Linked DNA regions of Xenopus tropicalis. The protein of the gene in region 1 interacts with the protein of each later gene in a biochemical or structural test. Links are inferred from orthologs where the notes say so. Each region holds a gene or a part of one and is shown in the gene's direction. Other genes may lie near its edges. The genes, in order: dlg3, net1, cript, frmpd4 and gda.

Region 1 (4,049 bases):
ACAGTCACAGCAACCCCTAGTAACCAATCAGCAAATAATATTGATCTGATTGGTTCCGATTATCCTGGTGCTATTTTGTTAAACAAATTATTAACTAACCCAGCACATCACTAATTGTCTTGAATAATTTCCATTTGAGTACCTCACAGTCTGTTGCTTGCTTCTCAGTTTACCTTTCCTGTCCCCATTCTGCCTTTGTCTTTGTATTACTTTGTCATTCTTTAAAAAATATAAACTTTTTGTATTAATACAATCTAATTTTTTGCAGCTTTCACAGTAGATAACCACATAAGCCATAACTCCACTCTGGGGGCATACCTGAGCAGTATGGAAAGCAAGTCACCTTATCCACCACCCCAAGTTACCCCATCCAGATTCTCCCCAGTTCCTCGACATATGCTTGGAGAAGAAGACTTTACCAGGTAACCATTGTTTATGAGTGAGAAACTGATATAGAGCAGAATAATCTGCGGAATGATCATGCAGCATGGCAATGGAAGTGCGATGTTATAAATCCTATATTAATTGTATATTATCCTATATACTATATAATAATTTGTATATTAACTTTTAGAACCCTTATGGTGATTAATGTAGTTTCAATAAAAAGTAATATACAACTGTCAAGCTGCATTAATTGTTTACCCAGCTTCAGTGATTTGTTATTTATAAGTATTTATATGAAAAATGTTTCCTGGTGGTTTTATTTAACATTAGGGATAGGAAACCATTAGTGAGCTGGTGTGTACAAATGACAACTCATTAGGTTGTAGTTTTTATCAATCACCGTAATAACAAATATGGAGTCTATCGAAAATCACCAGTCCTTGACACAATAATGAAGCCATAGATATGTGTTCAGGGATTTCTACTATAGCTACAATATAATACAAATTAGGGATCTATTACCCTAAATCCAAATATCTATAGAGTTCAGAACTACTACTGACAATTCCCCTAATATAAACAATTCCTCATTTTAGACTGATTTATTCACTAGCATAAATCTATGTTACAAGGACACTATACCCCGCTTTCCAACACTTTTCCATTTTTTTAATGGAAATATCTATGCTTTATGTCATATGAGGAAATTGTACATTGAAGGGGTTTGTTTATACAGAGGTCGTCTCAGTAGCCATTTTTAATAAATAGGTACCTGAGGGCTGGTTCCTAGGCTGGCCTCACATACCTATATAGAATTTTTTCCCTAAACATTTAAAGCCCTCAGCTTTATTAATATTTAGCATGCAGCTATATCCATTCTCTGTAGTTTTGGGCACATTGTTTCCCACAGGGATTATGATCTCTTCCTTAGGACCCATGAACTGGCAGACAAGGATTATGTAGCTGCCCCAGTACAGTATATGTGATTCTAGTTGGCCTACTCATGTGATTTCCCACTAAGCCCTGCAAGCTGTAGTTGGGTATGTTTAGTGTAGCTTTGTGAGATTGTCTAGGATTTATTATTCTCACTGTGAAGTAAACAAATAAGAGAATATCAGTAAACAGCAACAAACGTGTGACTTGATATTCTACTAAGTGCAATGTTTGCCTTTAAATTGTAAGTATAATGCCCTGTGCACAATGTGATGGAGCTGACATGTGTCAACAGGCCTTAAAGGGATCATTCACCTCCACAAAGCTCACTGTTTAAATAGCACACTGCCCTCCTTCTGAAGTTACCGAAAAGCAGCTCACTATGCCTGGTAACCCACTCGTTTTGGACAATTTAACCGTTCAACAGCAGCAGCTTCAGTACCTGAGCCAGCATTGGTTACAATTAGGTGCATTTGTTGCTGATGATGTACTGCTGCTATATGCAATATGGCAAAATGTATCCAGACACTTGGCTGCCTCACATCTTATTTCTATGTTAAGGGGTGTATTTATTAACAATGGAGACAAACATCACCAGTGATGTTTGTCTCTAATGTTAATAAATACTTCCCCAAGGGTACTAATATGGAGTTAATGTTAAAACAGCCATTGTCCTATAGGCTTCTGGGAAGGCTTTCCACTAGACATTGTGGCTATTGGCTTCCTTTCATACATAAGAGGCTGAACACTGAATTTTGGGTGTGGCTTAAATAGCCTACTACAGTAATTAGAAGCGTTGCCCACTTTTGGACCACACAGTACATATAAAATTACATACTACACCCTGTATTAAGCATTTTCTGTGGCCATACATAGGCCACCTACTTCATGCAATATTGTAATTATGGACTGCAGTGTATAATGTCCATCTATACTGAACCCTCATAAAATACATGGATAATATAACAAAACTACACTATTCAAAATCAGCCATTTAGGTGCCTGGTGGCATTTCTTTTAATATCACAGTGAAAGGGGGAACACCTAATGTGGGGCTGCAGAGAATTCTCAGTTCTTCTTTGACAATGACTTCTAATCATTGCTATTTAAAGGGAAATCACCACTGAAATAAAAATAGTTGCTAGTCTCCTTTATTATGGAGCTGTGTGAGCAGTTAATATGTGGCTGTATTTGCAGCGATATGGCATCCTTGGTACAGCTACAATTAGCATTGCAAAGTGACTCCACCATTGCTCCTTGCTGTGAAAATAGCAGGGATGAGGCTCAGTAATAGGGTACCTGTCACTCATTGTCTGCCATGAATCTGCCACCCCATTAAGTGAATAGGTGTCTGTTGGACATGCCATGCTGATGAGCACAAGAGATCCCAATTGCAGCTGTCTGCAAATACAGCCCTGTGCTAATTGATAGCTTTGCTATAGATTCTTTTCTATTAAGCAAAGTCCTGGAGCTGACCAGCTAATCTAATAGAAACAATTCACAGACTGTGAATTTATGCCTGTGTAAATATATATTAATAATTATTGCAAAAAAATAGTATTAGTAGCCAAAATATGTAAGCTCACATGCCATTTTAAGCCCCCCCACTCTCCACTCCCCACACCATTGCTTCTCCTAGGAAAAAAATGCTTCAGCCCAGGGAAAACAAAAGGTTGGAGAATAAGGATAAGGATCCTCTCCTTAATGAACTGAGGTTTAAAAGCTTCCCTGCTTGTTTCATCATATAATAATCAAGGCTATTGTGATGTTAAGGTACATATTACAAATTAAATATGTAACTATTTAAACTAGGGGTCCTGAGTCAAGAATCAGTGCAGCATGGTCACCCATTAGTCATACCTCCCAACTGTCCCGATTTTCGGGGGACAGTCCCTCTTTTGACAGCTCAACCTGCACAATCCCCGATTCTTACTGAAAAGTCCCTCATTTCCCTTTGATCTCCCCCACTGAATGCTAAAAAAGATACAAATTTAATTAAAAGTAGCTTTTGGCACAGAGCCCAGAAATCTTAACGCGCGTCACCTGCACTTAGAAACATTGTCTCTCACTTTTAATTAAATAAGTAGCTTTTGGCAGAGAGCCCAGAAAGGTAAAAATCCCCCGCTGCACTGAGATACAATTGTAACTAATAAGCTAAACAGGTCTCTTGTGGGAAATGAGACTCGCAGCTTAAAGGGCAATTTCACCTTTTTCAGCAAAACTGTAATAACACATAAAACAGGACCCCAAATCCCCCCAGAAATGTGTTCAAAGTTTAAATAACCTGCCAAATTTAGTCAAATGGGAGTGGTATTTAGGGCTTGTGGTCGCAAAAATGGACGTGGTCAAACAAATTTGTCACGAGCAGTGCGGCGTTTGTTTCTGTCCCTCTTTCCGTTTTCAAAATGTTGGGAAGTATGCATTAGTCCATATTGTTGCTGGTCATTAATGAGTATAGATTTTATACACCAATACCCAGTGCAGAACTCTTGATGTGACTTAAATCTTTACATATTTTGGCCATTATTTCGCCATATACTTATATACTGTATAATTAAACAGGCTGGAATTGTGGCCTGGTAATCATTTCCTCTCCATATACTATATACTCTTTGCAGCAGTTTGGTAATAAGACATTTGTCTTCATTAGTCTAATGACAATAGCCTGATAAAAAAGACTGGGCCTTCTTCTAGCATTGAGGGCCAACAATTAGGGGCAGTTTTATTAA
Region 2 (4,049 bases), on another chromosome or scaffold:
TCATCTCTGATGTAGAGATAAGGAATTCTAACAAACTATATTTGTGCCAAGGGATCCGTTTATAGGATTTATTCTAAATCAGTCTGAGAGGGAGAGGGTTATGTTTTAGTGCAAACATAACTAAAGTGAGCTGCTCCTCTGTTTGCGCAGACTGGAGGGATTTTCTCTAAGCTCATGTTTCACCTTGGGTTCTTGTTGTTGTGAAAATATTCTAAAGTACACAGATCACACTTGTTTAGGTTAATCTCTATACTTCATTGTTATGCCAGGAAATTAGCATTCCCTTGCCAGTTTGCATTTCATACCATTTTGCTCGGAAGGAGTTGCTTTTTGTGTTGGGAGTTCAACTCTGCCTCAACAGTTACTGTTATTAATTACGCATACTGACCTTGTGTATAGGCAGACCTGCTGTGTATTGCTAGGCAAGTTGTGATCCTGAAGATGTACTAGGATAATTCAGTCGTTTTGTTTCTCCTTATGTTGTCATGTAAAACAACTCCTGGTATCCTTCAGCTGCTGAGGGTGTTGGGAGCCGTTTGGGCAGGTGAAAGTTGATTCTTTTCAGTCTTTTTGTTATCCCTATAAGAGTTTGACCTGTTATACTGTCTTCTCCTGAGTATATTTTACCATTATGTAAATCATATCTTAAGATTTTAAAATAAGCTTTTTATCTTTGTTTATTAGGCGCTACAGTTTCTTTTGCTCAATGTGGGCCCTACATTTTTACTGTGTACTATAACATGAATTATTTTATCTAACAATATACAGCCAACATAACAAAGGTGGATGATTCATACACTTCTTTAATTTTGTTGTGTTCTAGTTAGCATTTCATAATTGCTGTTCTTTCTCCCACAGAATATTGCGCCTAATGTTGAGATATGTCTGTTTTGTAGGAGCCAAGCACTAAGAGAGTTCGGCCTCTATCGCGAGTCACATCATTGGCAAATCTAATCTCTCCTGTAAGAAATGGCGCAGTCAGACGTTTTGGCCAAACCATCCAGGTACTGCCAGTTTGTAGTATTATTCTTTATTTCAGACCAACAAATGAGCTTAAACTGATTCTCTCATGATTTTTATGATTTACTTTTTGTTTCTAAACTACACTGTTTTATTCGTGAACCAACTAATGTATTTTTTTAGTTGTAATACTGGTGTGTAGGCAGCCATCTCAGTGCATTGTGCCTGAGTCTGAGCTTTCAGAAGGAGCCAGTGTTACACATTAAAACTGCTTTCAGATAACCTATTGTTTCTCCTACTCCCATGTAACTGGAGTCCCAAGCTGAACTTGGAAATTTTTTTTACTATTGAGTGCTATTCTGACATCTACCACTTTACATGTGTCAGGTAGCTACTATCTTGCTACCTTCCCATTGTTCTGCTGATTGGCTGCTGTTTGGGGGGGGGGGGGGGGGTAGAAGGGGTGGGGTGATAATACTCTAACTTGCAGCACAGCAGTAAAGTGTGACTGAAGTTTATCAGAGTACAAAATCTCATAACTGTGGCACCCTGAAAGAACATGGCTAGCCCTATGTGGAATTTTAGAATTTAATATAAAAAAAAAAAATCTGTTTGCATTTTCCATGTAGGATTCTGCTAGAGCAGCACTATTAACTGATATGTTTTAGGGAAAAAACATGTTTTTTAATGACCGTATTCCTTTAAACTGTAAGGTCCCTATTACATTTATACATGCAGTTGAATTGACTCCTGAGGAAACTGACCTGAGTATAGGTTGTTTATTGAATGCACTGTGTACACTTTCTGTAATCTTTATAAGCAGTGTTCGTGCTACAGTTAATCTAAGCTCTGGCCTGCTTAGATTTGATCACTGAGGTTTCTGGGTTTTTTTGTTTCCTTAACTGATTTTGTGTTGCATATAAGTGTTTATGAGAAATACCCCTTCTACTAAAATGTTGACTTTACTTGTTTAAACCTGACCAGTGGGTTTCAAGAGAATTCAAGCACTGAACAGCTTCAAACATGTTTTTTCTTGCCAGTCATTTACAATGCGAGCCGAAAACAAGTCTCCAGGCGGTACACAGAAAGCTTGTAGCAAGGTGGCTGCACCTACCCCACCCAAAAGAAGGAACAGTGTTTTGTGGTCTGAAATGCTAGATATTAATATGAAGGAATCTCTGAGCACCAAAGAAATAAAACGGCAAGAGGCAAGTTAAACAATTAAGGATATTTTTTGCATGCTGTTATCAATGTAATTTGCGGTTACATTGTTATCCCTTCCTTTGTTGGAGACATCTTACCTTTATTATTGGTTAATCGGTGCAATACCTTATGATTACATTGAACCTAAATTGTTAGGATTGCTTAAATATGTGGGATTAGTCAAATAGGCTGAGGCTTTAAACATCCTAGCTTTTTGCAATGTAGGGAACACTGTTATTAGTGTGTATATACCCATCAGCTGCTTTTCTACAACTTCCTGCAGCCTTAAAAGTGAGAATGCTGGTGGTTGTAGCTCATCATCAGTTGTCAGGCCATATGTGAGAAATCAGATTAAAATACTTAAGATTGTTGGATAAAGTAATAAATGATTTTATGAAGGGAATGCGCTCTCCAAGAGGGAGAAGTATGATTCTGCAGGCCTAAAGCAATTGCTTCCTGCTGTGTCCTGAAAGTCACTGTAAAAATTAAAAGTAACTGCAAAATATATACATGATATGCTAGAATGAGGCCCACAGGACAGATTTTTTACAGCTTGCCATTTACTTGCTCTTGTGTTTTTGTTCAGTATTTTTGGCTAGTTAAGCTCTGTTATTGGTTATCCTGAACATGCAGGGTCTTACTCCAGGCTGTTAAACCTTTGAACTGACCAAGAGCAATCATAGCAGTACAACCTTTGAACAGCAATAAAGTTTTTCAACATGGATATTAAAGGGTAAACTACAGCTAAAATACAAGCTCCTTCTTTTCAAATGGTTAGAACATAAACAAATCTTTTCAAACCTTCACAGTAGTAGCTGTTTCTTAGGACAAGGCATTTTTTGTGGCTACTTCAACCTCCTTAACTAAACTAGCAGCCCATTTCCACATGCTAGGGCCAAACAGTCCTGTGTTTAAATCAACCTTTTATGAGGTTCTTTCAGATATACAGAGAAAATCCCATCCCACATATGCTGCATTTAAGTGGTGCTCCTTTGTCCTGTAGATTTGTAACCTGAATGTTTTCCTATCAGGCAATATTTGAAATGACCAAGGGAGAGCAAGACCTTATTGATGATCTAAAGTTGGCAAGGAAGGCCTATCATGACCCGATGCTAAAGCTTTCTATTATGTCTGAGGAAGAACTAACACAGATATTTGGAGATTTAGATTCCTACATTCCTCTTCATGAAGGTAAGTTAGCACCGTAAGGCACCGTAAAAAAGGAAAATTAAGGCAGCCTATACACAGATCTTAAATGTATGAATCTTGTACCCCCCACATGTCTGAGCTCTGACTTATACTAACCTAAGCTGGTTCTACAGCTATGTGTGTTCTGTTTTGTATTTAAATCTCTTTATTAACCTAACCCCCTTTAAATATGGAGAATTTTGTAATTTTAAAGTGACATAAGTTATATAGGTGACCAAAGCCTAATTTAATTTAAAATCTGTCTTCTATTTTTCAGAATTGCTTGCTAAACTTGGGGAAGCAACAAAGGCAGATGGGACAGTTGGTCAGATTGGTCCCATTCTCATTAATTGGGTAAGTAACCTACATTAGATGTCTTTTACTGTTAAACCATTTTTGCAGCACTGTAGTGGGAGTTAAATATAAAAATACATTACTAATAGTACTTAGTAATAGTACTTAGTTACTTATAGAGCCTTGGTGATTCTGTGTACTTACTATTGGTGAGTTTTGTGAACAGTAAGCATTCTATGTACTATTGCTGCAAGTAGCTGAGATACAAAACAAAGGAGTTGTCTTCTATCACTTCCTATTGTTAACTGAGAATCCCCATTTAGAACATACAATACAAGGCAATTACTGCAATGCCTGGGGCTTCAAGATAATAATCTGGCTACCGTTTTGGGACAATGAGGAAA
Region 3 (4,741 bases), on another chromosome or scaffold:
GCAAATTGTCTCAGAATATCAATGTTTACATCATATTAAAAGTGAATTAATGGTGAACTACCCCTTTAAGCTAACTGATCCCAAACACAAATGGATGGTGAACCCCTCACAGAAGTGCCTGTATGAATACTTTTACATCCTAAGCATTTTAGGGTTAAAAAAACACTCGCACTCCACCCGCACTTTTGCGCAGTATCCCTGGGAGTCAGTGGGAACCACAAGAGGTAGTTGGGAGGTTCATTATTTACACCAGCAGCGAATCCACTAAGTCTCACATTAGCTTTATGTCAGTCTATGTATGGCCCATATTTAGCCTCCCCAAACAAAAAAGTCACCCTCCGCCTATGCAATCTCCCCTAACTGGCCTTCAGGCTGCCCTGTGTATGTAGCCACAGAATGGGCAATCTCCCCTAACTGGCCTTCAGGCTGGGCTGCCCTGTGTATGTAGCCACAGAATGGGCAATCTCCCCTAACTGGCCTTCAGGCTGGGCTGTGTATGTAGCCACAGAATGGGCAATCTCCCCTAACTGGCCTGCAGGCTGGGCTGCCCTGTGTATGTAGCCACAGAATGGGCAATCTCCCCTAACTGGCCTTCAGGCTGGGCTGTGTATGTAGCCACAGAATGGGCAATCTCCCCTAACTGGCCTTCAGGCTGGGCTGTGTATGTAGCCACAGAATGGGCAATCTCCCCTAACTGGCCTTCAGGCTGGGCTGTGTATGTAGCCACAGAATGGGCAATCTCCCCTGACTGGCCTTCAGGCTGGGCTGCCCTGTGTATGTAGCCACAGAATGGGCAATCTCCCCTAACTGGCCTTCAGGCTGGGCTGTGTATGTAGCCACAGAATGGGCAATCTCCCCTAACTGGCCTTCAGGCTGGGCTGTGTATGTAGCCACAGAATGGGCAATCTCCCCTAACTGGCCTTCAGGCTGGGCTGTGTATGTAGCCACAGAATGGGCAATCTCCCCTAACTGGCCTTCAGGCTGGGCTGCCCTGTGTATGTAGCCACAGAATGGGCAATCTCCCCTAACTGGCCTTCAGGCTGGGCTGTGTATGTAGCCACAGAATGGGCAATCTCCCCTAACTGGCCTTCAGGCTGGCCTGTGTATGTAGCCACAGAATGGGCAATCTCCCCTAACTGGCCTTCAGGCTGCCCTGTGTATGTAGCCACAGAATGGGCAATCTCCCCTAACTGGCCTTCAGGCTGCCCTGTGTATGTAGCCACAGAATGGGCAATCTCCCCTAACTGGCCTTCAGGCTGGGCTGTGTATGTAGCCACAGAATGGGCAATCTCCCCTAACTGGCCCTTCAGGCTGGGCTGTGTATGTAATGGGCAATCTCCCCTAACTGGCCTTCAGGCTGAACACCCCATGTTGCTAATTGTCTTTACTACAACTCCCATCACTCCCCCTAGGAGCTTATGCAAACACACCAATGGAAGGAAGCAGCTGTAGCTCAACAGCACCAAAACTCCCACAGACTGAGCTATATATATATATATATATATATATAAGGGTAGAAGGGAAGTCCCGCTGTGTCTCCCAATACTCACCTGTGCGCTCATTGACCCTGCACCACTTCTGGTTCTGGTTCCTCCTCCCTCACCTGAAAAGGAGCAGAAGCTGTGTTTGATAGACAGTCACATAAGCCAATCAGGCGGCGGCTTCCGCCAACTGACGTTGACGTTCCGGAGCGGTTTCCATTGGTGGTGACGAGATCCGGAAGTGACGTTCCTAAGGAACTTTGTTGACAAGAGCCGTGTGATTGTTGGTGTGACCGGAGTGGGACATGGTGTGCGATAAGTGTAAGTAACAAACCGGGTTTAATCTCGCTGGGTGTATTTCCTGGTACCGGGCAGCTCCCATAGAGCCGTGTTATGTGGGTAACGCTTACACCTGCCATTGGATACATTTGCCGAGCAGCTGTAAACCATGGCGTCCTGTTTATATTATCCTTCACATTCGTCTGCGCAACTGGCTGAGCAAAGCCAATGGCTGGTTGGTTGCTAGGGGTGCCTACTGTTAGTAATAAATAAAGCAGACATAGCTGTAGCTCTGGTTTATCCGCTGTTCGCAATACGTAGTAATATACTTACTGTGCTGCCGGCTATTACTATTCTCCCTGACTGTATTGCTCATTGTCACTATATATTCTGATTATCTCATTGACGTTTTTGGATACCTGTATGGGAGAATGTAATTACTGTTGTTTTTAAAGGGATAATGTCATGACTTATGTGGTATACTTTTTATTTCTAAATTACACTGTTTACATAGCAAATAATTCACTCTGCCATTTAAAATGTTATTCTTGAACCAACAAATGTATTTGTAGCTGTAATATTGGTGTGTAGGCGCCATCTCAGTGCCTTGTGCCTGAGTCTGAGCTTTCAGCCAGCGCTACACATTAGAACTGCTTTCAGCTAACCTATTGTTTCTCCTACTCCCATGTAACTGGAGGAGTCCCAAGCCGGACTTGGATTTCTTACTATTGAGTGCTATTCTGATACCTACTGGGAGCTGCTATCTTGCTCCCTTCCCATTGTTCTGCTGATCGGCTGCTGGGAGGGGGCGGGGGATATCACTCCAACTTGCAGCGCAGCAGTAAATTGTGATTGAAGTTTATCAGAGCACAGGTTACATGGCTGTGGCACCCTGGGAAATGAAGAATATGGCTAGCCCCATGTGAAATTTCAAAATTAAATATAAAAAAAATCTGTTTGTATATTTGAAAAACAGATTACAATGCAGGATTCTGCTGCAGAAGCTCTATTAACTGATGGGTTTTGAAAAAAACGTGTTTTCCCATGACAGTATTCCTTTAAGGACGTAGATAGGGATATGTGTGTGCAGGAGCAGCATTAACTAATGACGTGTATTTAATGACAGGTGAGAAGAAACTGGGCACAGTTATCACTCCAGACACATGGAAATCCGGTGCCAGGAATACCACTGGTAAGTTGTGGTGCCATTTAATCGGATTTGCATTATTGTGTATCAATCCACTAGCACTTCTTGCTCTTCCCAGTCTTTCAGAGGCAGAACTTTGATCCTATTATAAAGGCCAGATATTGTTTATATAAAGGCAGACTTTAATATTTATTTTTTTTGTAAAATATATGGTGACATTTAAGGGCTGAACCTGTTGTGCTGTGTTATTAAAGGCTTCAAAGTGTGCCTCTGCCACCTATGCAGCTTCCCTTAATAAGTACACAAGCAAAACATTTGTACACTAAAGGCTTATATGAATAAACTCATTGGTTAAAGGAGAAGGAAAGGTAAAAACTAAGTAAACTTTATCAGAAAGGTCTATGTAAATACAGTCATAAGCACTCACAGAAACGCTGCACTGAGTCCTCTGTCAAAAGAAACACAGGATTTCTTGTCTACTTTTTTGTAAACATGTTCTTAGGGTATCTGACTTTCTCTCTCAGAAAAATCCTTCATTCCTGTGACCAGAGTCAGTGCAGCTCTCTCCTCTCTCCTGCTCCCCCCTCCCATAAGAATTCATAAGACTCACTCCCCCCTCCCTTAGGAATGTGTAATCTGAGCTATAACGCTAGACTGCAAACAGGAAGCTATGGAGACCAAGCTAAAATGGCAGCTGCAATCTTAAAAAGAGAAAGCTTCTAGGGCTCTTTACTCAAGTATGGCAATGCTTTCTGCAGAATAAATATAGTGTTCTAGGTGGCACTAATGTGGCAAACCTATTGGCAGTTAAATGCCAAAATGACTTCTTCTCCTTTAATGCCTCCATGAAGTGCCACCAGTTATTATCTTTAGCCATTTTTTAACAATCTCTTTACCTGAAATGTTATCGCTGCATGTATCTAGCTAATATTAGCAGAGTAATGCAATTAAAAGCATTAACTGATATTTTTATTGCCTATTGTAAATTGATGATAAGCTATTTTTTTCTAAATAAATATGGTATAAAATACACTTTTTTGCTTGAAAAACAGTCGGTTTAGTTTATTCAGTGACTGGCTTACCCAAAGGAGGCTGTTTGAAGCCATGGCCACTTCCAGAGTCTTCCCTCCCTCCTCCAGAACTGCACCACCAGGGACCCCTAAAACTGCTCTGTTTGGTCTACCTGGTTAAGGCTTATTTTCAACTGGGGTGGCGGACTTTCATTTTTTGATGAATTGTTCCATTCACACGTAAGCCTTCTTTAGTGAATATGCCACTGTTTGTTTATTTTAATAGGCAGTATTTTTTTGTCTTGTTTTGGCACAACAGTCCCTGTCAGAATTAATGTTTGCTCAAGTAAAAGAAAAAATCCAAAATATTTCATTTGTTTGCCTATGGCCCCTAAGTCCTGGAGCTGGTAACCTCTCTATAGTATTATGTACAATGTTTCAAATGGGGGACTTGATGGGAGGCTTATATTTCTAATTTATTTAATTAAACAAACACATTTGGCTTCTGTGGGAAAGGATTATTACAGTATTCTTCTGGTTATTGATTTTTCTCTCTCTTTACACAGAAAGTGGAGGCAGAAAACTAAATGAGAACAAGGCACTGACATCAAAGACTGCAAGGTGAGTACTAATCACACAGTGTCTCCTTTTCAACTTGAGTTCAGTGTATAGGGTTTGCTGTGAACATACTTTTTGCCTATTGTAACTCACTTTCAAATATCCTCAAATATTTTGAGGATTTGTGACAATCACTAGGCTTAACTGCTTTACTGCAGCTCAAAGTAGATTGAGCATGTGCGGTGTCACTGACACCATAGAAATGG
Region 4 (4,049 bases), on another chromosome or scaffold:
CAGATATAATTTGACTCACTCTCCTGGGAAACATATTGGAACATATTGTTTTGACTCTGTTTTGCCTGTCAACCCCTTTGACTCTCTTCTCCTCTTTCACTTTATTTACATGTATAAAATCTGATTCGACTTTATGCCACATGATCTTTGTCACTGATTATAATATACACAGTACTGCATCTTGAAGTAACAAACACTGTATGTCAAATAATGCTGTTAAAACCAAATAAAATTTAAGTTACAAAAAAAATACTTGGTGATGACAAAACAATTTTACATTTATTTTGTTAATATTATAGGTGTTTAAGTAACCTTAAGGCACAGGGATGTACCATAAATAAAAACAGTTCCTCTCTATCTTGTATTTATTAGTACATGTGACAATTATCCCCCCAAAAAAGTAGATCACATTTTGAAAATAACAAATAATAAAATTTATTATGAATATAAGTACACGTCCTTTTGCTGTCTGAACTAGACAATATTCCAATTAACATCAATGAATATCAAATTAATATTTGAATTAGTGTTTTGTAGATTATTTAGTACAAAAATGGCAAGTTGTACGGTGCAAAACATGGCTGCAATTCACCATGCTCTTTTCACTTTGCACCCTGCCCTGCACATAGGTTAAAAACAAGGTGCTGAGATCTGTATTTGCACATGAATACAGTGCTGTCCAGCCAGGCCTGGTAGTAAGGACAATGTTACCTTGCTCACTATGCTAGCTTTTGTGCCCCTTTACTTCTCTAGCACCTGCATCCGGGGTCTCAGTAAATGGCCCCTTATAAGTCCCATTAAAGCAAATCTCTGGTGAATCCTAACCATTTTCTATATGCAACTCTCTGCATACAGGCAGAATCAAGGGTTTTCACAGATGAATTCAAATATATTTATCAGATGATTCAAATAGATCATAGATCAACAGATTTGTTCTGGAGATTTGCCCATGTTACTTGCTAAAGAGCAGGCAGCATGACTTGCTTGCATTCTTGGGGGTGGTGCTGTGTCAGTAAATCACTTTAGTTTATTTATTTTATCAATGGATGAGGCAAAATCATGGGTTACTGTAAATCTATACATTGCAAATGAAAGACATATTTCCTTAAAGTGACTTATACTCTTTTTTGTTCTTTCTTACAGAAGCTGCAAAGAATCAATCCTACTTACAGTCGTGCAACCGTACCCAGTAAGTACAATGGGAACAGCATGGAAAATGGTGTCTTTATTGAAAGTGATATTATATTCCATAATTCTATTTTAATAAATAAAGTAGATTTATAGTATTTACCATAATGAAGTAATATTTATTGTGAACAATTTAAAATGGAGCTAAAACCCCCACTCTACATTTTTGTTAGCCCCCTGCACATGCTTTAATTGAAGCTATTTTTATTATCAATATGCTTATTATCAATACTGATAATACTGAAAATCTAACCATTTTGTCTCTCTTCCAAGACTGAAGTATTTTGCTTCTAAAGATAACTTGCACATTAGCTAGGGGCTCAGCAATTTCACAAAATAATAATGTTTCCACCAAAAAATGAATTTGAGGCAACAGAAAACACACTAAGGGGCAGATTTATCTAAATGTGAGTTTAAAGCTTAATACATAAAAAACTCACCATTTTCCATTCATTCCTATGGGATTTAGAGATGAAAGTTAGAACTCCCCATTTAATAAATCTGCTTCAAAAAATCTTATAAGAATGACTAGAAATCTGCCCCTTAGTGTTTTTTTCTGTTGCCTCAAATTCATTTTTTGGTGGAAACATTATTATTTTATGAAATTGCTGAGCCCCTAGCTAGTGTGCCAAGTTATCTTTAGAAGCAAAATACTTTACTCTTGGAAGAAAGACAAAATGGAAAATGGAAAAACAAGATGTTATGAACTGTTCAAGTAACACATGATCACATCATCATTTGTCTATTAGGCATTTGGTATATATATTCCCTGCACTGGGACTTTGCCTATAAAATAGTTTATCTGATCTAATGACAGTACAGCAGGTAGCATTTACAAGTCTTCGCTTCCAAAGAAAACATTTGACTGGCCACTATAGGTTATTAGCTCTGGAGTAACTTGCCCTTAACACCCTCCTCTATACATTGCAACCACATATTTCTATGTAGCCAGCAGTGTGCAAATAAATTGTACCATAATTGGAATCTTTGAAGCCATTTCAAGGTAACAAAAAAGCCATGGATGTGTTGGCTAAGAAAGTATAAGGGCTAGAATTCAGGCCCACATAAGGGCACTTTCAATCATCATGAATTTTTTCCACAATACATTGTTTCCCCCCACAATTAATGTGTCATTGCACACACAAGCAGATGTTGAATTAGATGCATATCACGCTTGCGTCATCAAAATGAGCAAAATGAGCACGAGCATACACTTGGCTGGAAATCGGACGCAATTGTGCCAAATATTTTTTCAGTCTGCCTTGTGTCAGTTCCCGTGTTTGGCATGTGAATGATGTCTGTGCTGGATTCTTTAGGTGTAAGTGCACTGTGTCTATTGAGGCAGGGCACTGAGGGAACCCTGGAGCTACCACCTGGTCAGGCGTGACAGAAGTTCCACGGTCCCGACCTTTCCATGATAATATAGGCATAACGTAAGATTAGGTGTCGTTGTCTAAGTACATTTGCGTAAATGTTATTTTTCACATGCTTTATCATGTTTTTTCCCCCTGAAGTCTCCCAAATCCGCATTTATTAGTGCTGCAAAAAAAGCCAGACTGAAGTCCAACCCAGTTAAAGTGCGATTCTCAGAAGAAGTGATAATCAATGGCCAGGTTTCGGTAAGTGCTAATAGTAAATCTGAGGCTGATAAAAGTGAAGTTTACATGAGTTGCTTGCTTACTGTAATAATACAATTTTAAAATTAAATTTTTAACATTAAATTGGAACATTTATTCTTTAAATATGTCTTATAATGTTAAAATTTACACTAATTTAAGTCAGTCAGGATAGACTCCACACAAGATACACTTTGCAAACTAAAGCTTTCCATGCATGGCCCCATATTTGGCTGCTTCTAAATGCAGACAGGGGGAGCGCTGACACAGCAAGTAACTTGCAACCCAAGTCACTTAATAAAGGGCACTAGAGGGGCCTGAAACATGTTGTGTACAACACTTTAATCAAGATGTGTTGCAAGTTACTGTTTGCATTTGGAAGCTTCTATATGTGGAATACAGTGGAGTCTGGAAAGGCTGTGGGCTGATTATGGATACATTGCTATTAGCCATTTTGGCTGGTGATTGGTTGGCAGCTTATTGACCTGTGTACCAGACCAGAATGATGTATTCGCCAATTGATCACTGGCAGGGATACAAATGATAGGATAGGATAAACATGCTTTTGGTCACCTTGTTGATCAAATGGATGGCCAGCACAATTGTAACCATGTGTAAATAATACAATACAAAATATAAAATAATGTTAAGATAATTTTCAAAGATACAGCTATATTCTATAAGTGATCTTTCCCGTCTTTTGCCGATATACACCAGTACTAAGCCTCCTTAGAATACAATAATGTATGTAAATATCCTAATATAGTGTCAAGGCAAGGTACAAAGCACAATAATGAGTGCAGTGCACACTGCCTCACTGTCTGGTATTTATTTCCTGTGATACACAATTGCCAAAATGGAGCACAGTGACCTGTGGTTACTCACATGAATACTATAGTGCCTGCATTTGCTAGCGCTGTATTCATAAGGGAAAGAGGAAGCATATAGCTGTCCCTGCTACTGCCCCCTGCTTATGAGGGAATAGTGTTTCCGACAAATTCTCGGCTGTATCCTGTGATAGGATACTATTTAACACCTGTCATGCCCCTACATCATGTTGTGGACTTTTTTATTGAGTATTGGGAAATGTAGGTGGTTACTGGTATGACATGGATTTGTTGTCATGTTTTTAACAAACATACTTGTGTCTTCATAATTGATTGTTGGGACATATGCTCATAGTCTTTTTTGATTGGCTTAAACATAAGTCCACTCGATTTAAATTTAATTTCATCACTCAGAAGT
Region 5 (4,049 bases), on another chromosome or scaffold:
AGCAGACAGAGCTTACTGGGTCAAGGCAGATGTTTAGAACAGGGCTTTCTTGTGCTCAAGTTTATGTCTCATTCACTATAATCTAGGAGTCTCACAAAGAGGGGGTTTAATAAGAAATGAAGCAGAGGCTCCATTAATGTGCATTACGGGGGTCCTATGGGTGTGGGCCTCTGGTTCTATTCCCTTCCTCTCTCATTCAGGGTATGTTTCCCTCCTCTGTGCCCCCTCCTCATCTCTTCTTTGCTTCATTCCTGTTTCCATTTTGCTCCACTCCCATTTCACCTTCACCTTTGTTACTTTCCCTCTTTTTTCATTTCATTTACATATACAGGGAAATGGCCAAAATGCTGTTTTTTTTATCAGGGATAGTTGTTTCTGCTGCAACTGCAGCTGATGTGTCAAAACTAACACAACTGTGCATGCGCATGTTTGCACATTTGTTCGGGATGGAGAAAAGTGCAAGAAGTGTGATTGGATGCCAAGTTCCTATATTGAATGGTGTCAATAAGTGCAATATTTACATCTATTTACCTATAAGGTTTTTAAGGCTCCTGAGAACTTTTATAAAAGCACTTGTTTCATTTCCTTATGTTGTACAATAGGGGTAGGTTATTCCCTATTAATTTTCACTATGCTGTGATATATGGCAGTATATTCATGATTCTTTTTTTAATTTTAGATTTTATTTATAGAACATGCTGAAAAGGAAGCGCAATTGGCTCTGAAGTGGAAATTTGATGAGAGCAAAATTGAAGACCTTGGCAAGAAGTAAATTTCTCTATATTTACATTTATTACTTGTCACATCTTTCCCAGTTACAGTGAATGGATTATCAATGTTTGCTTATTTACATCAACATTAATCTTTTTGCAGCACAAATTCAAAGTAAACGTTTCATCATTCTATACAAAAACCAATATATTTTATTAAACAGAAATAATCATGCACTTTTTAGTGTCAGACAGAATCAATTGTGTACTTCCAAGATGCAGTTTGTATTTTTGACAAATTCAAACATTTAGTAAAGTGCAAATTTGATGTATGTATGTAATGTATGTAATGCATATCGTCAGATAAAATGTTTACAATGATAAATAATCAGGTTTTGTTTAATATTACACTGACACACAGTCTGCCATGTCTTCCCTGCTTCTCCAAGACATAACAGAAGGAGCAGTAGAAAGAGCTGTAGCCCATGGAATATTCTCCTTGTGTTCAATTTTATAAAATGTAGTTCTGAATTTTTCTGCAATTTACTGAAGCACTTATCAGTTTTAACACTTTATTATGGTTTATGCCATGTAAGATGGCAACAGTAGAAGAAGCCTTCCAGCAAAAATGATTGCATTAAAAAGCTACCATCTCTAGGAAAGTCTTGTTCAAATTGTTCAGAATATATTTTTGCTTCTGGGGAAAGGGCAGACAGTTTATAGGCGCCAGTACTACTTGGCCTGGCTTTGGAGTCAAATGAGGTTCATAAGAAAGTAATAACATAAGTACGTAAAACAAAAATTAGAACAGAATACATAATTTTTACTTATAAAGAGGCTGCTAGATAAAAAAAAAAAAACTGATCTTCTATCTATCCATCAAACTAATTTACCTGCATATTTTTTTACTTTTAGTGAGTTCTTCATGCCTGGAATGATAGACACTCACATTCATGCCCCTCAGTACTCATTCATAGGATCAGGAATGGACCGACCACTTCTGCAGTGGTTAGAACACATTACGTTCCCAACAGAAGAAAAGTTCTCTGATCTAGATCTTGCTAGCAACATTTATGAAACAGTTGTGGTAAGTGAGTGCTGTCCAACTGGCGGCCCGTTACCCCCCTCTCTGTGGCCCCTGCACTTGTCTGGCTGTTTGATGACTTACCTTTGTTTAAAGGAGAAGGAAAGGCAAAGTCACTTGGGGGTGCCAAAATGTTAGGCACCCCCAAGTGACTTAGCCTTTCCTTGTCCTTTAAGCTTTAAATGGTATCAGTACTGTGATTAACTGGCCCCCTGCATTGCTCACACCTCAGATTCAAGATGTAATTCCCCTGTATTGTTTAAAAATGTAATCCTCTGTGTTGTTCACACCTTTTAATCCCTGCATTGTTCATCCACTGCATTGTTCACACCTCAGGCTCAGACTATAAGCACCCACATTGTTCACCTGTTCACACCTCAGACAGGCTGTAGGAGCTGTAGAAACCCACAAATAAACCATTTACACTACAAAAAGAAAATAAACTGAGGTGGTACTGCAATTAAAAAGTTTTTTTAATATACAGTTATTGTGCAGACCGTAGGAGCAGTGCCAGCAGTGTGTCACTGTATGCTTTCTGTGTGTGCCATACTCTGCCTGCCCTAGGCAGCATATGGCAGGCAGAGTATGGCATACAAAGGCATGGTAGGGCAGGCAGAGTATGGCACACACATGCAGCATAGGGCGGGCAAAGTATGGCACACACAGGCAGGGTAGGGAAGGCAGAGTATTGCACCCAAAGGCAGCATAGGACAGGCAGAGTATGGCACACAGGCAACATAGGGCAGGTAGAGTATGGCACACACAGGCAGGGTAGGGAAGGCAGAGTATTGCACCCACAGGAAGCATAGGACAGGCAGAGTATGGCACACAGGCAACATAGGGCAGGTAGAGTATGGCACACACAGGCAGGGTAGGGAAGGCAGAGTATTGCAGCCACAGGCAGCATAGGACAGGCAGAGTATGGCACACAGGCAACATAGGGCAGGTAGAGTATGGCACACACAGGCAGGGTAGGGAAGGCAGAGTATTGCACCCACAGGCAGCATAGGACAGGCAGAGTATGGCACACAGGCAACATAGGGCAGGTAGAGTATGGCACACAGGCAGGGTAGGGAAGGCAGAGTATTGCAGCCACAGGCAGCATAGGACAGGCAGAGTATGGCACACAGGCAACATAGGGCAGGTAGAGTATGGCACACACAGGCAGGGTAGGGAAGGCAGAGTATTGCACCCACAGGCAGCATAGGACAGGCAGAGTATGGCACACAGGCAACATAGGGCAGGTAGAGTATGGCACACACAGGCAGGGTAGGGAAGGCAGAGTGTGGCAGGTTTTTGCTGTACTACCACCATTAATATGAGTATGGACATGTGATAACAAGTGTGGTTTCAAGTAGGTGTGGTTTAAAAAAGGGGAGTGGTCAAAACTGGCTTCCATTATCAGCCCTCCATCATGTAGGCCGGAAAAATTACGGCCCTCCGTACCACAGAAATTGGACAGCACTGGTCTAAGTAATAGTTCCTTTTAAAGACGGAGGGTGGGTAGGCTTGGGGTGGCTATAGGCAAGGATGGGTCTGGAAAAAAACCCTAGCTATAGTATTCTGCTGTTTAAATGCACCATATTCAGTTTTCAGTAGGTATTAGAAACTAGAAAGAATTAAAATGCGCTTTTAAAACAAGGGTTTCTTACCTGTGAACTGGGGCCAAAAAATAGCAGACAGTGTTAAAGGAAATAGGTGTGGAATGGAATCCCCATTTATTAAACATTTTCTAGTAGGATCCAATCAGGAAAATATTTTAGTGAAATGCATAAGAATGTGTTAAATTGCTTCAAGAAGTCTAGCACCATTCTGCTCTGTGGGGTGTTACAGATCAGCAGCAAGTCCATCTGAATAATTAATCCCCACTGCAAATTCCAAGCAGGAATTAAAAATTAGGACATTTCTTTCATGCTGAAGAAGTTTGCTCTAGCATAAAAATACATTTTATTATATGAAACTTTTGTTTTCAGTTATCATGATACTTAGCAGTAGCCACCATTACTGTTTAGTTAGGAAGTTTCATAAATTGTCCAGATCCTGTACATTTTTTATTCTTAACCACACAAAGCCTGGTTTTGGATCCCATCTGAAAACGTTTAAAAAATTAGGGAACCAGCAACTGACAAGCATAGTTTTTAGACAACCTTTAAGAGTTTGTCTGACCGATGACCGGGGAACGCGGAAGTGCAGCGTGAATGTGTATGTACGCTGCGTCGCGTACGTATGCATTCACGCAACAGTTCAGCATCCGC

The links.
Region 2: the proteins of dlg3 (region 1) and net1 interact in a test that uses a peptide from one of them, tested with the Homo sapiens proteins (2 studies listed by IntAct, with this or other methods). The link is inferred for Xenopus tropicalis from reciprocal best matches to the Homo sapiens genes DLG3 and NET1.
Region 3: the proteins of dlg3 (region 1) and cript form a complex in vitro, tested with the Homo sapiens proteins (2 studies listed by BioGRID and IntAct, with this or other methods). The link is inferred for Xenopus tropicalis from reciprocal best matches to the Homo sapiens genes DLG3 and CRIPT.
Region 4: the proteins of dlg3 (region 1) and frmpd4 interact in a test that uses a peptide from one of them, tested with the Homo sapiens proteins (2 studies listed by IntAct, with this or other methods). The link is inferred for Xenopus tropicalis from reciprocal best matches to the Homo sapiens genes DLG3 and FRMPD4.
Region 5: the proteins of dlg3 (region 1) and gda form a complex in vitro, tested with the Homo sapiens proteins (2 studies listed by BioGRID and IntAct, with this or other methods). The link is inferred for Xenopus tropicalis from reciprocal best matches to the Homo sapiens genes DLG3 and GDA.

The regions. Positions count from the first base shown.
Region 1 is NC_030684.2:44,856,144-44,860,192, reverse strand, and holds part of dlg3 (disks large homolog 3), read left to right. Parts: intron 1-268; coding exon 269-422; intron 423-4,049. UniProt on the Homo sapiens protein: Required for learning most likely through its role in synaptic plasticity following NMDA receptor signaling.
Region 2 is NC_030679.2:84,690,557-84,694,605, reverse strand, and holds part of net1 (neuroepithelial cell-transforming gene 1 protein), read left to right. Parts: intron 1-896; coding exon 897-1,004; intron 1,005-2,000; coding exon 2,001-2,168; intron 2,169-3,194; coding exon 3,195-3,354; intron 3,355-3,628; coding exon 3,629-3,705; intron 3,706-4,049. UniProt on the Homo sapiens protein: Acts as a guanine nucleotide exchange factor (GEF) for RhoA GTPase. May be involved in activation of the SAPK/JNK pathway Stimulates genotoxic stress-induced RHOB activity in breast cancer cells leading to their cell death.
Region 3 is NC_030681.2:19,971,654-19,976,394, forward strand, and holds the start of cript (cysteine-rich PDZ-binding protein), read left to right. Parts: upstream 1-1,784; 5' UTR 1,785-1,786; coding exon 1,787-1,802; intron 1,803-2,886; coding exon 2,887-2,952; intron 2,953-4,483; coding exon 4,484-4,538; intron 4,539-4,741. UniProt on the Homo sapiens protein: As a component of the minor spliceosome, involved in the splicing of U12-type introns in pre-mRNAs. Involved in the cytoskeletal anchoring of DLG4 in excitatory synapses.
Region 4 is NC_030678.2:106,191,204-106,195,252, reverse strand, and holds part of frmpd4 (FERM and PDZ domain-containing protein 4), read left to right. Parts: intron 1-1,143; coding exon 1,144-1,189; intron 1,190-2,702; coding exon 2,703-2,807; intron 2,808-4,049. UniProt on the Homo sapiens protein: Positive regulator of dendritic spine morphogenesis and density. Required for the maintenance of excitatory synaptic transmission. Binds phosphatidylinositol 4,5-bisphosphate.
Region 5 is NC_030677.2:130,496,492-130,500,540, forward strand, and holds part of gda (guanine deaminase), read left to right. Parts: intron 1-679; coding exon 680-768; intron 769-1,625; coding exon 1,626-1,797; intron 1,798-4,049. UniProt on the Homo sapiens protein: Catalyzes the hydrolytic deamination of guanine, producing xanthine and ammonia.